2 linked regions of the Caenorhabditis elegans genome follow. The protein of the gene in region 2 interacts with the protein of the main gene of each other region in a pairwise test. Each region holds a gene or a part of one and is shown on either strand. Other genes may lie near its edges.

Region 1 (9,307 bases), on a different chromosome or scaffold from region 2:
GGCGCATGTCTAGTGCCTTGACGCAAATCTAGTGTCCTTGACGCATTTCTCGATACCCTTGTAAAACAGCCAGTTTTCCTTGGATTTTTGCAGGATTTTCACGGAATTTCAAGAAATTTTACCTTCAACTCATCCACAAAAGGCCGCTTCTCCCCGGTTTGCCTGATAACTATCGCAGCTCCAGTAGTTCCACCCATAAAATAGTCTCCCGACCAATTTGAGGTTCCAATAATTCCCGCCGACTCGGTGACCATGAATTTATTATGCGTCCGGCGCTCCCGATTAATTACTATACTTTCAATGTTGGTACGTGGAACTTTGAAGATTTTCTGGAATATTTATTGTTTTTTTGTGAACAGTTTCGAAATCTCCATGAAATTTGCAAAATTTTAACACCCATATTGACTATTTTCTGAAAAATTAAAGTTTTAGGCCGTTCCAGGCCGGTTTAGGCCTGTTTAGGCTCAAAATTTCAGATTTGTTCAAATATAGCCAATATGGGTGCCAAATTAACGAGAATTTTATGAGAAACTTGAATTTGACACAAAAAATATGATTTTTCAAATGAAAATTGTTGCAAGTGCGCTCCATTGGTAAATTCCTTCAATTTCATCGGTTTTCCTCCAATTTTTTACCAAAACCCATGAAATTTTTTCTATTTTCTGAAAATTAAAGTAACTCACCACTTCCATAGTACCATTAGCATGGAAACCATTCAACGATTCCAAGGATCTCAGGAACCTCGTTCCAATATCCGGATAATGAAGCGCGGCGGCTAGGAATCGAATTTTGACGCCTCTAACCACCGCCCGTCGGATCGCGTCATCAATATTCGAGAAATGTACACGTGGATTACGGTAGATGAACAACGGGAAATAGTCCATAACATGGATATCAATGAATTTCTTGGCGGCGTCAATTTCCGAGACAATTGCGTCGAGGTCCCATGTACGGCGTGGGTTGTTGAGCTCTTTTGGGGAGGTCTGCAAAAACATTGGAATAAAATAGAGTGAAAATTTGAAAAATTCAGAAAATTTGACCCTAAAAATCGATATTTTCACAAAAAAATCGATATACAAAAATTTTTTAAAAATTTCCAAAAAAAAATGTTTTTTTTGGAAATTTTCGAATTTTTGTTTAAAAATTTTTTAGTCAACAATTTCTTCTGAAAATTTTCAAAAACTCACCGCGATATAAACCTGAGCCTTGGCTCCTTGTACTTGCATTTCCAGCGGGTACTCCTTGTTATAGGCGGCTTTAACTTTCAGTGCCCCATTTGACTCGATGCCTTTATTCTGGAAAATTTGAAAATTTGGCTCTGTCAGAAAATAGGGAATTTGAATTTTTCGTGTAAACTAGACAAAAGTGCGTTTAAAAAAAGCCAAAAATGCATCTAAAACTACTGTATCGAGGAATGCGCCAAGGTGGCTTGCTGGCGCAACTTTCGTGCAATTATTAAATTATGGTGCACTGAAGTGATATTAATATTGTATCAAAAAATGCGCCAAGGTATGCTGTTGGCGCAATCTTAGTGCCTTGCCACAATTTTAGTGCCTTGATGCAATTTTAGTGCCTTGGCGCAATTCTAGTTCCTTGGCGCATTTCTAGTGCCTTGGCGCAATTCTAGTGCCTTGACGCATTTCTAGTCCCTTGACGACATTCTAGTGCGCTAACGCAATTCTAGTTCCTTGACGCATTTCTAGTGCCTTGGCGCAATTCTAGTGCTTTGACACAATTCTAGTGCCTTGGCGCAATTCTAGTTCCTTGACACATTTCTAGTGCCTTGGCGCAATTCAAGTGCCTTGGCGCATTTCTATTGCCTTGGCGCAATTCTAGTGCCTTGACGCGTTTCTCGATACCCTTGTAAAATTGTCAGTTTCCAACCGATTTTCGTAATTTTTTGTGCACACCCCCAAACACATGAGGGTCTTCTTACCTTCAAATCCCACAAAACATGGAAAATATTATGCATATCCTCTCCAAGACATTCGCAATCTTCCACCAAAACACCCAACTCCATTTTCTGATTCAAACTCCGCCAGTCCAAATTCGCCGAGCCCAAATAAAAGCTTTTCCGGTCGGCGACCAAAAATTTCGAATGCATTTTTCCACGGCCCATATATTCGGAAATATCGATTGATTTCCGGGTCACCGCGCCGAAATTCTCCAAAATCACACCGTCGGCGTTGTCGCCCTTATCCTTTGGCGGGTAGTTTTCCACCATTCTGACGGCAACTTTTCGGGATTTTCCTACTGCCATTAGGGTGTTGTAGATGGAATCTCCCTGGAAATTGAGGAAATTTGAAAATTTGAAGTTTTTGGAAAAAGTTGTTTTTTTTTTCAAAAAAATTTTTGAAGTTTTTTTCGAAAAAAAATTTTCAAAAATTTTCAAAAAAAATTTTTTTTTTTCAAAGTTTGGAAAAAAGTTCTCATACCTCTACAGAATAATACTTTGCAGAGTCCCCGAGCACATGTTTCCCCTGCAAACTCGACTTGTAAGCCGCCACGTAGAGCTCCTCCTGAGCATTTGAAATTAGCGATTTCCAGGCGCGAAACGTGGATAATGGGAATACGGTATCTTCGCCGAATGAAATATTTGCTGGAATTGTTTCCACTATTCGTAATCTGAAATTTTATGAAAATTGGATTTTTTGAAATTTTCGGAAAAAAATTTCAAAAACAATTTTTTCAAAATTTTTAAATTTCTGTTCCACTTCGAAAATTCAATTTTTTTTAAATTTCCCGCCAAAACTCACTTGCAAGTATTAAAACATTGACGATCCCTAACCAATTGAATTTCTGGTTTTTCCGGTAATTTTGTGATAAGTCCTATTGTGAGGAAGGGTATTAATAATATCACGAAGCCCTGAAAAAAATAATTTATAAAGATTAATGTTTTGGTTTTTTTTTTAAGTTTAGAAAGCATTGAAGTAGAAAATTTTAAACTTCCAAGAAAAAAAATTTTTTTGGAAATTTTGGAAAAATTAAAAAAAGGTTTTATTGAATTTTTTAAAAATTATTATGTGTTTTTTAAAAATTATATTTTTAAAAATTAAATTTTTTTTCTCTGAAAAAAACAGAAAATTTAAATTCGAAACTTCAAAAAAAAATTTTTTTTGCAAATTTTTAATTTTTTTATTTTCACACTATTTATACTTTGAAAACAAAAATCCAAAAAGTAATTAAAAAATAAGTTCAATTTATTTTTCAAAATTGAAAAACTATAAAAAATTCCAAAAAATTAATTTTTGGCAAATTTATTAAATTTTTTTCAATTTTTAAAATGTCTGTAAGTTCTATCATTTTAAAATTTCTAGTTAAAGTATGAGCTAATTTTCAAATTTTTTTAGTTAAAAATTCAGAAAAAATTCTATAATTTTTTGAATTAAAAAAAATTGAAACCTAAAAAAATATTTTTTTTGGAATTTTTGAAAATTCTAAAAAAATTCAGATGACTTTTTTTTTAAATATAAAAAACTTAATAAAAATGTTAAAAATTTACAGAAAATTCCAAAAATGAATGTTTTATTTGATTTTGGAGATTTCCAAAATTTAATCAATAACATCCAATTTTCCCAACAAAAAGATCTCAAAAAATTCAATCTGAAACGTACCGATATTGTGAATTTGTATTTTAATTCATTAGATTCTTGTGCCATTGTCATGTATATTTCAACAAAAAATTTCAATTTCTCTCCAAATTATTCCCAAATTTTTCTCAATTTTCCACTCGAAAAAGTGTCAAATATCGAAAATTGTGAGGCAAAAGAGTGAAACTGAAAGTAGGAAACTATCCGGTGATAAGCACCGCGTATTTATGTGCATTTTCTTATCAGTTAATGATCTGATAGACAGTTTGTCAGGGAGCCTGACACCGTCACGCGCCTCCACAATTGACTAATTGACGTCAATAAGCCCACGGAAAATCAGGAAATTGCACTTGATAAGGGCTAAAAAAAGAGGTTGAACTTTAAGACTATGGGAAAAGTCAGTTGATTCTTGTTTTAACGGTGCGAAAACGTGAAAAAATTCAAAATTTTGGCGAAAAACTACCCAGGAAATGTCCGCTGCTCAATTTCTATAGAAATTTGGGTGTCGAAAAAGCATGTATAGCCCCGGTAAGTGTCGGCTGCTAAAACTGTAGCCACCCGGCAGGTGTCGGCTGCTAAAACTATAGCCTCCCGGTAGGTGTCGGCTGCTAAAACTATAGCCTCCCGGCAGGTGTCGGCTGCTAAAGTTATAGCGACCCGGCAGATGTCGGCTGCTAAACTAAGTATAGCCACCCGGCAGGTGTCGGCTGCTAAAACTATAGCCTCCCGGCAGGTGTCGGCTGCTAAAACTATAGCCACCAGGTAAGTGTCGGCTACTAAAACTATAGCCTCCCGGCAGGTGTCGGCTGCTAAAACTATAGCCTCCCGGCAGGTGTCGGCTGCTAAAACTATAGCTTCCCGGAAGGTGTCGGCTGCTAAAACTATAGCCACCCGGTAAGTGTCGGCTGCTCAAACCCTGGAGATGTCCGCCGCTAAGAAGCCAACCATTTTTGCAATTTTTTTTTGATATTTCAGGTAATTTTAGCTATAAAGATCAAAATCGATTATCAGGAATTTCTAGGAGCGGCCGACATTTCCCGGGTCGACGGACACCCGGAAACACCGATAGACTGTACTTTCAGACTTTTCCAACTCCACTGATTAGCCTAAAATTATCACGTGGCGCCTATTTTTGGACTGATCATTGAATACAATTTTATCATGTGATAATTATTTTTGAATTTTTGAAAATTTATCAAAATTTTGGTTTTGATTTTGATTTTCAATGATCAAAATTGACGTGATTTTTACATTTGTTTTTGAGATTTTTTGTCTGAAAAACTAAAAATGATAAGCTGATAATGGTTGTTTTTAAGCGTTTTCTGGTGTTCTGCAAGCAATTTTCAGCACAAACAATTTTGAGGACAGTTTTGAGGAGGAAATTCAAATTTTTAGACAATTTTAGGGCGGGAAAATGGAAGTTTTCGGCATTTTTACACTGGAAATTTTAAATTTCAGGCAATTTCAGGCGGAAAAATTGAAGATTTAGTCATTTTTTCATAGGAAATTCAGAATTTTCCGGCACTTCTCTATGGACAATTCACAATTTTCGACATTTTCACATAGGAAAATTGAATTTTCAGCTATGTTTAGGCTGGAAAATTGAAGATTTAGGCAATTTTGCATAGGAAAACCAAATTTTCAGGCAATTTTCTATTGGAAATTTAAATTTTCAAACATTTTTACATTGGAAAATCACATTTTCAGACAATTTTCTATTGGAAATTCTAATTAGCAGACAATTTTCTATTGGAAATTCGAATTTTTAACTATTTTTACATAGGAATCTCAAGTTTTCAGACTTTTTTCTATTGGAAAATCAAAATTTCAGACATTTTTTTATGGAAAATTCAGGATTTCAGACATTTGTACCAGGGAGAACCAAATGTTCAGACATTTTTACTTCGAAAATTTGAAATTTCAGATATTTTTAAATAAGAAATTCAAGTTTTCATGCATTTTGGGATAGGAAATTCAAATTTTTGCCACTTTTCTATGGGAAAATCAAATTTTCAGACATTTTACTATTGGAAAATCGTATTTTTAGACCATTTATATAGGAAATTTGAAATTTCACACATTTTTACATTGGAGAAATTTACAGACATTTTTCTATTGGAAATTCAAATTTTCAAACATTTTCAGATAATTATTTCCAAAAAAATAACATACCTCATGATTTTCCTTGTTTTCGAGACCTGAGCCACACTTTGTCAGAGTATATTGGAGCATTGACTGGCTTGAAGTTCTGGCTGGAATTAAAAAAAAACACGGCTGTGCGGCAAGTAGAGCAAAAACAATGTTCAAAAATTTTCAAACCAGGAAGTTTTGATTTTTAGATATTTTTACATGGGAAAATTAAATTTTAGGGCCTGAAAATTATCTGGAAATGCCAGAAATTTCAGTTTTCTTATGCAAAAATAGTCTGAAAAATTGATTTTCTTATGTAAAAATGCCTGAAATTTCAATATTCTTATGTAAAAACGGCTAAAATTTCATTTTTTATATGTCAAAATGTCTGAAATTATAAATTTCTTATGTAAAAAAAGTCCGAAAATTTGATTTTCCATAGCAAATTGTTTGAAACTTCGATGTTCCTATGTAAAAGTGTCTGAAAATTTGACTTTTCTATGTAAAAATTGACTGAAAATCTAATTTTTCTATGCAAAATTGTCTGAAATTTCAGTTTTCTTATGCAAAAATAGTCTGAAAATTCGATTTTCTAATGTAAAAATGCCTGAAATTTCAATATTCTTATGTAAAATCGGCTAAAATTTCATTTTTTATGAGTATATTTTTTTTAGAGTATATTGGAGCATTGACTGGCTTGAAGTTCTGGCTGGAAATTTAAAAAAAAAACACGGCTGTGCGGCAAGTAGAGCAAACAATTTTTCAAAATTATTCAAACCAGGAAGTTTTGATTTTTAGATATTTTTACATGGGAAAATTAAATTTTAGGGCCTGAAAATTATCTGGAAATGCCAGAAATTTTGAATTTCCTATGTAAAAATGTTTCAAATTTCAAATTTCATATTAAAGATTGTCTGAAAATTCGATTTTCCTATGTAAAAATGCCTGAAATTTTGAATTTCTTGTCGAAAAATGTCTAAAAAACTCTCAATTTTACGATCTAAAACTGTCAGAAATTTAGATTTTCCTGTGTAAAAATATTTGAAATTTTGAATTTATTATATATACAATCCTGAATTTTCAAAATTCCTATGTCTTAAATGTCTTAAATTTTGATTATCCCATTTAAAATGTGTGAAATTTTGATTTTCCTATGTGAAAATATGTGAATTTTTGAATTTTGAATTTTAAAAAGCCTGAAATTTCAATTTCTTATGTAGAAAAGTCTGAAACTCACAATTTTCCAATGTTAAAATGACTGAAACTTACAGATTTCCTGTGTAAAATTTATGAAAAATGCAAATTTTCACAGATTTTTGACTAAAAACCTCGTCATTTCCGCTTTTTTTCCAGAATCTATACGTCATAGGTTGGTTGAAACGAATGATCAATTTTGTTTTTTTTTGTGAACTTTGAATCATCACCCTCGTCAACAGCTTACAATTTGTATCATCATACTGTTTTATTTTAACATTCACTTTTTTTCCAGTTTTGTTCAGTTTTTTTTATTGGAAAATTTCATATAAAAGTCTAAATTTCTATGTAAAAACCTTTGAATTTGTTATTTTTTGTCCTAAAAATTTTGGATTTTCTACAAAAAAACCATATGCGAATTCAATTTCCTACCTAAACACCTCTGAAACCTTGATTTTTAGCTAAAAATTTCTGAAATTTCGAATTTCACATTTAACCAAAAATATTTTCCAACTCAAAAACCGTCAAACCTCATGATTTTCTGTTAAAAGTGTCTGAATATTAGATTTTTGAGAACTAAAATTCACTGAAAATTCAAATTTCCTATGTTAATGGCCGTTTTATGACACTTTTTGACCCGACTTAAAAAATTTTTTTCTTTTTTTCGGATTTTTCGGAATTTCTGGAAATTTTTCAAGTCTAAGCCTAAGCCTAAGCCTAAGCCTAAGCCTAAGCCTAAGCCTAAGCCTAAGACTATCCCTAAGCCTAAGCCTAAGCCAAAGCCTACGCCTAAATCTAAGCATTAGCTTAAGCCTAAGCCTAAGCCTAAATCTAAGCCTGAGCCTAAGCCTAAACCACAGCCTAAGCCTGAGCCTAAGACTATCCCTAAGCCTAAGCCTAAGCCAAAGCCTACGCCTAAATCTAAGCCTTAGCTGAAGCCTAAGACTAAGCCTAAGCCTAAGCCTAAGCCTAAGCCTAAACCAAAGCCTAAGCCTGAGCCTAAGACTATCCCTAAGCCTAAGCCTAAGCCAAAGCCTACGCCTAAATCTAAGCCTTAGATTAAGCCTAAGCCTAAATCTAAACCTAAGCCTTAGATTAAGCCTAAGCAATATCAAGCTCTTTGAACTTTTTGTTGATGCTTCTTCACTCTATTTCCGATCGCAAAACGACCAAAATTCCATCAATCTTCCCAAAAGTCACGCGGCGGGACCCAAAATTAATGTCAGCTGCCGTCGTAGGGAAAAGAGGCCAAACTTTTCGAAAAGTTGACATGATCATACAACACTTGGCACCCGAATTCCTGTCAAAAAGTGTAATTTGGAGCACACAGCTGTCCGTAAAGACGGGATGCTTCTTCTAAACAACCCACCCGGAGCATTTGCTCTTTGAAATGCCTCTTGGAAATGCTCCACGAGCTCCAAGAATTTTTAAATTTCAAATTTTTTTAGAAATGCACCTCCAAGAGCCTAACTTGAAAATTGTTTGCTATTATTCCCACGTCAAATTTTATCTGAAAAACAAATTCCAGCATAATTCTGAGTTTACTGGTACAGTCTTCAGGCGTAGGCTTAGGCTTAGTGTTAGGGTTAGGCTTAGGCTTGGGCTAGGCTGAGGCTTAGGAATAGGCTTCAAAGTTCATTTGCTCAATTTTCAAATTTATTCGAAAAATTCAAAAAAAAAACTTTAGTAGTTTTGGCCCGTTTTTTGAGGGTTTTAGACTTTTTTCACTTGAAATTCAAAATTTCAAAGAATTTTAAGTAGGAAAATCCCAATTTTTAGAGGTATTTAGGTAGAAAATTAAAAATTAAAAATTTCTGACATTTTTACACCGGAAATCCAGATTTTCAAAGGTGAAAATTTTTTTAAATTTCTTACAGTTTAAAGCTCATTTTCCACAGTTTTCGGCCATTTTTCCTCTTTTTTTTTCTGAATTTTCACCTAATGCAAGCCAATATTTTCAGCTCTAAATCATGTTCAAGTACGTTCTCCTCGTCATCTTCCTCATCGCCCTCATCGAGATGGCTTCAGCCGATTTTTCGTGCTATTTCTCGGATTCCATCTGCAAATCCATCACCTGCAGAGTGAGTTTTGAAAAAGCTGAGTTTTTAGATTTTAAGCGAAATTTTTTTTTTCAGAACTGCAAAGTCGCCACCTGTATCACCGGAGACTGCGTCTGCACCCTTTGCTAATTTTTTGAATAATTTTTTTATCTTTTGAAAAAAATTGAAAATTGAATTTGCATAATATAATAAACTGAATTAATCGATAACATTTTGAACTTTTGAATTTAAAATTTTCAGATTATTCCAGAAAATTTACACCGCAAAAATTCAAAAAACTCATACCCTTTCATGCCGGAAAACGAGAATTTCAGACATTTTTTTTTGGGGGAA
Region 2 (6,909 bases):
AGTATGGTAACACGTTTGCAGCTCTATAACTTTACTAGTGGAGAGAGTTATTACATCAATTTGTACAAGTTTTGTTCTCCATAAAATACTGACCAGATGAACGTTTTGAATTTTCAAAATATTCCCATCCGCATCGCTGCAGGCCTTCAGAACTTTTGAGATCACGACCGTTATGGCACGCAAGTCGGCATTCTGCGGGATTTCTACATTTTTCTCGAGGAATCCATCAAATGTCTTACAAGTTTTTATAGTTCAAAGAATGCTCTTGGTCTAGAGATTCTTTAAAAACAAAAATCCAAATAATTTCTATCACGGTATTTCTGTCATGGACTGCGGCAGTAGGTTAAGCCTTGAATGGCATAGTCGCCAGAAAGATGGATGTGAGCGGCGAGTAGCAGTATGCAGAAAAATTCATTTTAGTATTTTTCGAGACGTTTTGACCTCACTTTCCAGAATTTTTTTAGAAAATTGAGCTCGGATGATTTTGTGGGTCGTTACGCCTTGCGAAACCAAAAAAACTGAGTAAATTTCGCAAAGTTGAATTCATGAAATATTCAAAGGTTCTTGCTAGGCGCCAGTGTCGACACAGAAAATTTTCATATGCTACAAAAACAATTAAAAACGCTTCTTCACTTCTTTAACTTTAAATTTAACATAAAAATCATACATCTGCAAATTATTGGCGTGCGTGGGAGGTGTGTTTGTGTGGGAAGTGCCGCGTGCCAAATTACCGTTTTTTCGAAAGGGTTCGCCAAATTGTCGAGGTGATAAAGATCGCACCTTATTGGGAAACATTACAAATTTTGAGTCAAATTGAAGGACATTTATTCAGCTATCAGTATTCGATAGAAGAATGTACGTATGACGTGGCAGTCGCGCGAAAAGCTCATGTAAAAGAGCGCTTCATGTGTTACCATACTTTTGGCCCACCCTGTAATTATTCAACTTACAGTTCTTTTTCCACTGATACTCATGTTTCTAAATCCCTCGCCGATTACTTGGTTCGTGTTGTTAGAGGCAACTCGTCTTGTAAGACCACTGATTTTCTCTTCCACGGTTCCAAAAAACTTCATACCATTGAACAAATCTTTTTCAGATGGTTTCACACTGAACTTATTTGTGTGAGTTTTCGAAATCTCAAATCAAAAGCTTACGCCTGTACAGTTATTTTGTATCTTCCAATCTCCAGACCCTGGTTCGTAGCCTTCGCTGATGCAAAGTTGTTTGTAGAGAATACTAAAATTCCATCAGCATTCTTCTCCAAGTTTGCCTCAATTCCGTGCACCTAAACAACAATTTCTTTAGTAAAGTTAATTTATTCTAACCTTTGCAAAGTTTCCTTCCACAGTGACTTGCAGGTTGAGTCTCTTTAATTGGAAATTCTTTGGATGCTCTGCCAATGAAACTGTAGCACTGAGAAAATTTCCAAGTTTAATTCCACTCTCTGAAAGCATTCTTTCCGAAATATGGACTGACAGATTGTGATGGGAACTGTAATACTTGGAATAATTGATATGATTATTTTAATTACTGAACGAAAATTGAACAAATATGAATCATAAACTGGTGTACTCACCCAAGGCTAATAATCTGGATAAATGTTGAACCATCCGAATAGTATCCTCTAAATGCCGCGAAGAAGTCGATTATTTGAGCCATATTTTATCTCAAAACAAATCAATAAAACTTTAAAGAATGCCTCCAATCAAACATAATTAAAACATTTTTATGAAAAATTCAAAACATAGAGCGAAAGAATGTTCACTTATGAAACCAATTCTGACAAATAAATTTGCTCATTCTTAAGAAGTTGATCAATAAATAATGGAGAGGCCCGAGAACATTCTCAATGTCTTCGCTCCTATTTCAGCATTTGTTGGCTTATCAAACATTTGCTTGCTATTGATAAAAATGGACATTAACCTATTTATGAGAATGTGTTGAATGAATCACTTTTATTTTAGAAGAGTAATTTTCGAAAGATCAAAAACCAACACGGGTTCAATTTCACATCATAGAGGATAATCTTTAGCAATTTTCCTATTCGAACCCAGCGATTTGAACTGAAAATAGCTATTCTGAGAATAAAAAACAGAAAATAATCAAGAGGTCGGTTTTCATTTTTTGAGGCACTTGTATGAAGTCTAGTTTTTAGTTTTTAATTACAACGAAACGAACTACAAAATTTGAAACGTTGCTTCTCTCAAACCTATTGAAGAATTTCAAAATTATAGAACCATTCTGGAAGGTGAACAAATGCGACACAGATGCAACAATTTGTATGCAGTAGCCATGCAGAAAACACAAGAAATCAGCACTTCATTCAAATCTTAAAAAAAAAATAAATTCAAAGTTAATCCGGTTTAGGATGTATTCATATATTTGATTATGTTAAAGGGGATATTCATTTTTATAAGATAACTTCAAATCACATTAAAACGTTTTTTAACAGTTGCCAAAATCCTTTTAGTAAGTTTAATATATGTATTTCTTATAGTACTTCTTTGATAGTCCATGCAAACTTTTGCCCAACTTTTTGTCGTTGCGTGATAACCGTTTTTCCAGTACAATCCGTTTTAAGGTTACGGAGTATTTGTTTGATGTCTAGCTGGAAAACGTTTGATTATGTTTTTACTTTATTTTTTAAATATCAATGGTGTCTCATTAAAAGAAACAATTGGTGAATAAACATACAATAAATCCGAAATGCACTGCGAAGACTTGTGGATACTGTGTCATATTAGTCATTGGTTGATAATGACTAATTGTTGTTTTTATTTCTAACAAATTTCCGACTACATCGACGGGAAACATATCTTCAATCTGCCTAACGTATTTGAAGCATTGCCAATTCGATTTCGCATTTTTCTGAGAATTATTTGTTTATAAAATTAACATTTTTTCTTACTCTTTCTTCAAACATTCCTTCAAAAAAGTGCCCCACAGTCAGGTTGTATGTTTTCGAAAAAAATATTGCTTGTCTGAAATTGTTCAAGTTCAAAGTTGATGGAAAATAGCTTCTTACTCGTAACGTTCACAAATCCATAAAAAGTAAATCGTGCGGTGATTTTTCTTAATTACTCTATAGATGAATGCGTTCATCTGAAAAATTTACATATTATCAGGTTTTGTTAATTTTTCTGGATAGTGAATATTAGAAAAAGTTTATTTTCTGATTATCTCACCGTTTTGATTTTGTTTTCCGGTTGTTGTCGGGACTGAAATCCCTTCCCAACAGTAGTCGAGGATGTGCTGGAGCTACACATAGGAGGAGCCGGCTCAATTTTCTTTAGAACGGTGGCGCAATACTGCAAGTTTTTGAATTTGCTTTCTTCTTTATGATTTGTTCTGAAAAGTTATCTGTTTGTGTTCGATTACCTTTAAAAACTTACGCTCTAACAGTAATCATATATTTTCCAATAGCAAGAGTTTGGTCAATAGCTCTAACAGTTCCGAATGATTCTGTTTCAAAAACTAAGTCTTCATCTCGATTCCTCACTAATTCTCCTTCAATCCCATCAACCTAAAATTGTTATTTTTCATAAAAACTATACTGTGAAAACTCTCACAAGTGCAAAATTTCCATCAATTTTCACATTGAAATTGTGACTTTTCAATTGAAACGCGTCGAGACTTTTCTTCGATCTGATAACCGCAGTTAAAACATTACCCAATGTGATTCCTTGTCCATTGAGATCTGTTTCTAATATGCGAAAGCTTTTATCGTTATCAGATCTGTAAAACCGTAACGTATGTATTAGGTATAGATTGAAAAAAAAGTTACAAACCCCAATCCGATCAAGTTCAGGAATTTTGTGCCATCAATGTAATACCCTCGATATGCGACGAAAAAAGTTGTAGTTGTCATGTTTGAAATTAAAAATTTTTGCTGAAATGAAGTATTATTTTATACATTACAACTCGAGTGCAACACTAATAGAGGAAATACGTCAAAGTATAAAACATTTCATTCTTAAATTCCGACAAATTATTTCTTCAAATTCTCGAACGATTTCATGCAAAATTGCAGTTTCATTCGAAAATAATTAGATAAAAATCGAGAAACACAACTTGCTCACTCCTAGTAGGAAATGTTGTCAGTTTTCTCTTTTTCGATTTTCATTCGGCGATTGTGTGTATAGGTTTTGTTGATAAGAAACTGAATTGATTCAAATAAAAAATGCTTCACACGGAAAATTTTATTAACAAGAGGAGTATGAGTCAGTAAATTTTCATAAGTCGAATATTCATTGAAGAATGATGTAATTTTAGGTTTTTTCGTTCATGAAATAATCTTTGAAAAACAAAAAATACTGGAACAGATTAAAATTTGCCAATCTTAAATTAAAGCTGAATATCAACCTTTCCTAACTTTTATTTTCTAAATGCCTTCCAGGAGGAACCGTATATTTTGGATAACAATATCTTGATATTTTAGATAAAAATTTATCGCGGTAGAAAAATGTTTAACACCAAAATCTAAGGAATCTATTAACTACTCAGATGGAAAGCCAGACAATAAAAAAAAATCTATGTGGTTTTTTAAATTCAAATTTGATTTTACTATTTTGAATTGTGCATTGTATAATACAAAATTTGAAACTTATTGTTTGAACCAGCATCAAAACTTTTTTGTTTCTCTCTGTATTATATTAATCATAAATATTCGCTTAATTTCTTTTTTAAACCTTCTTTCGGAACAGTGTAAATAATAAAATAAAAATATATTAAAAACAATTAATTGAATTTGTCATCCGAGTTTTTTTAGTCTTTACTTTTTCAGTAAAGTTTTAAAGCGAGACAAAATTTTGAAAAATTGCTGTTTACAACATATCAAATTATGCCAGTCTGCCACCAAGATTTGCAAAAACAAATGTTTTGAAAATAATAAAAGTAATATTCATTGAAAGGAGTTGTTTTACTCATTTAAAATATCTGTTATAACCCATCCATATTGTTCTTTATCAATTTTCATCATTTGAACTTCAACTTTTTGCCCTTCACAGTTCTTGGGAAGTTTATTGTGTCTGTCATACTGAAAATTGAATTAAAAAAAGATTTTTAAACAATTTCCCAAAACTTACTACAACTCCTAAATACTTTGCTTCAACTTCTGGCCATTTTCTTGTGTTATTCTTTGGTTTATAGTTTGTGACAGTAGTTGTAAGTTCCACTTTTTCATTACCGTTGTACTCATTAATAACTACTGTTCCATTAATTAATGGTTCGATTTTATTGTTGTACTGCTCGCATTCCCATTTTCCATTTGACTGAAATTTAGTAAGATATCCTTGGAGCCTGAACAGTTTCAAAAAAGTTACCTTCTGTTTGAAAATTCCTTCAAAAAAGTAACCCAACTCAAAATCATATTGTGGTAGTTTCAATATAGATTTTCTAAAATATTTATCATATATCGGAGCAGTAACACGTTATCTTACTCCATGATATCACAAATCCACAGGAAGTGAAATTTAGTATGTGGATATTGATGAACGGAATACACAAACGCTTTCATCTGAAATTGAAACAAAATTCGCAGGAATTATTTCCCCAACTGTAAATATTACCAGCCGTGGAGCAGAAAGGTTTTGTGGAACGCGTACGCTATTTTCGGCTTCACCAAGTTCCAGAGTCGGAAGTTGTTGGATAAGCTGTTCCATGGAAAAACCATCTAGAGAATTATTAGAAATCGTTTTCTTGATTTCCAGGGGTTCATCTGAGAGATCATCAAGAAAACTGGGGTTTTCATAAACTGAACTGTTTCTATAGTTTGAAGCAGGCTGGGCTTTGGCACGTAATTCAATTACATGTCCGCTTGCAGATACGCCTGTTCTGAAATTGAATATTTTTGATGAGTTTTCAAATATTCTAATTGTGATTATAACCATATTTTTAAAAACCTTCTACGTTTTTTGTTAGTTCCAGGGATTTAAAAAAAAACCATTTAAAAATGAAACGAAAAGTATAAGTTTAAATTTATATTTAAGTTTATTGTCAGTCCTACCGGTAAGAAATGCTCAGAATTTTGAGCCTGAAAACATGTTCCCCTGTTACAAGATTCTTACTATAAGGCTTTAATTTTAAACAATGCTCTCACAGATTTCTGGCAAAAATGTTCCGTTGATTTTTTAATTTTTCAATGAAAAAAACTCACGCGTGCACAGTAATATTGTATTCATCTAAATCTAGATTTTGATTCAACGATCTAATTGGACCAAAATCGGTTGTTTGAAAAATCAATATTCCACTAATATCCTTGATAGCTTCCATTGACGAATAACTTATCTGCAATTAATACATTTTCGTTTTCAAAGTCTATGAAAAACTCACAATAGCATAATCACCTTCAACTGTTACGTCTAGTGGATATGGAACTTTTTTGAAGTTTTTCAAGTTTTTTGGAGAATCTGAGCAAGCCACGAGGAAGTCACCGAGGCAAATGTTTGAATCGGATAGTTTATTTTCCGAAACAATAAATGTTTTATTTGCATTTGGGCTAGAAAATATTCAAAAATTGTACTTTTTAAAATTGAAAAATAATTTACCATAATCCAAATAAAATTAAATAAGGCTCTCCATCAGTAAAACCTCTTCTTGCAGCAAATAAAGAAATTGACTCCAATTGTGTATTCCATTCAGATTCATATTTCTTACAACAACAACAAAATTTTTCAAAAAATGTGGAGCAACTTTTCAGCAAAAATGTCATTCTTATCAGTGTGGAAGGAGTCGATAGATGGTTAGTAGTAAGTGTCGCTACGGCAGGTTTTCTTTAAAATGCACACTTGAACTAATAAACCTTTTTCTTTAAAAATAATTCTAAGACAAACAACAGTTTTACAATTTTTAATAAAAAAAGCTTTTAATCTGAAACTTCAAAAAGCATATCAGAAAATTATTTTAAAAATA

The links. Proteins that work in one complex are often made in the same cells at the same time.
Region 1: the proteins of F58F9.4 (region 2) and Y51A2D.13 interact in a two-hybrid assay, tested with the Caenorhabditis elegans proteins (one large-scale study listed by BioGRID).

Annotation. Positions count from the first base shown.
Region 1 is NC_003283.11:18,573,785-18,583,091, forward strand, and holds the start of Y51A2D.13 (PLD phosphodiesterase domain-containing protein), read right to left. Parts: upstream 6,001-9,307; 5' UTR 5,823-6,000; coding exon 5,763-5,822; intron 3,768-5,762; exon of another isoform or gene 3,666-3,767; coding exon of another isoform or gene 3,615-3,665; intron 2,867-3,614; coding exon 2,757-2,866; intron 2,626-2,756; coding exon 2,436-2,625; intron 2,285-2,435; coding exon 1,937-2,284; intron 1,648-1,936; exon of another isoform or gene 1,569-1,647; intron 1,296-1,568; coding exon 1,188-1,295; intron 984-1,187; coding exon 684-983; intron 330-683; coding exon 123-329; intron 1-122. Other genes in the region: txt-14 (transcellular chaperone signaling (x)cross tissue), read left to right, coding at 8,885-8,995, 9,050-9,103.
Region 2 is NC_003282.8:6,228,003-6,234,911, reverse strand, and holds F58F9.4 (Cadherin domain-containing protein), read right to left. Parts: upstream 3,890-6,909; 5' UTR 3,869-3,889; coding exon 3,789-3,868; intron 3,736-3,788; coding exon 3,570-3,735; intron 3,524-3,569; coding exon 3,393-3,523; intron 3,349-3,392; coding exon 3,186-3,348; intron 3,103-3,185; coding exon 3,026-3,102; intron 2,982-3,025; coding exon 2,909-2,981; intron 2,869-2,908; coding exon 2,695-2,868; intron 2,609-2,694; coding exon 2,492-2,608; 3' UTR 2,305-2,491; downstream 1-2,304. Other genes in the region: F58F9.3 (Restriction endonuclease), read right to left, coding at 951-1,107, 1,155-1,285, 1,326-1,491, 1,577-1,659; C49A9.1 (Telo_bind domain-containing protein), read right to left, coding at 4,919-5,035, 5,085-5,270, 5,322-5,394, 5,439-5,515, 5,568-5,832, 6,155-6,285, 6,331-6,496, 6,546-6,709.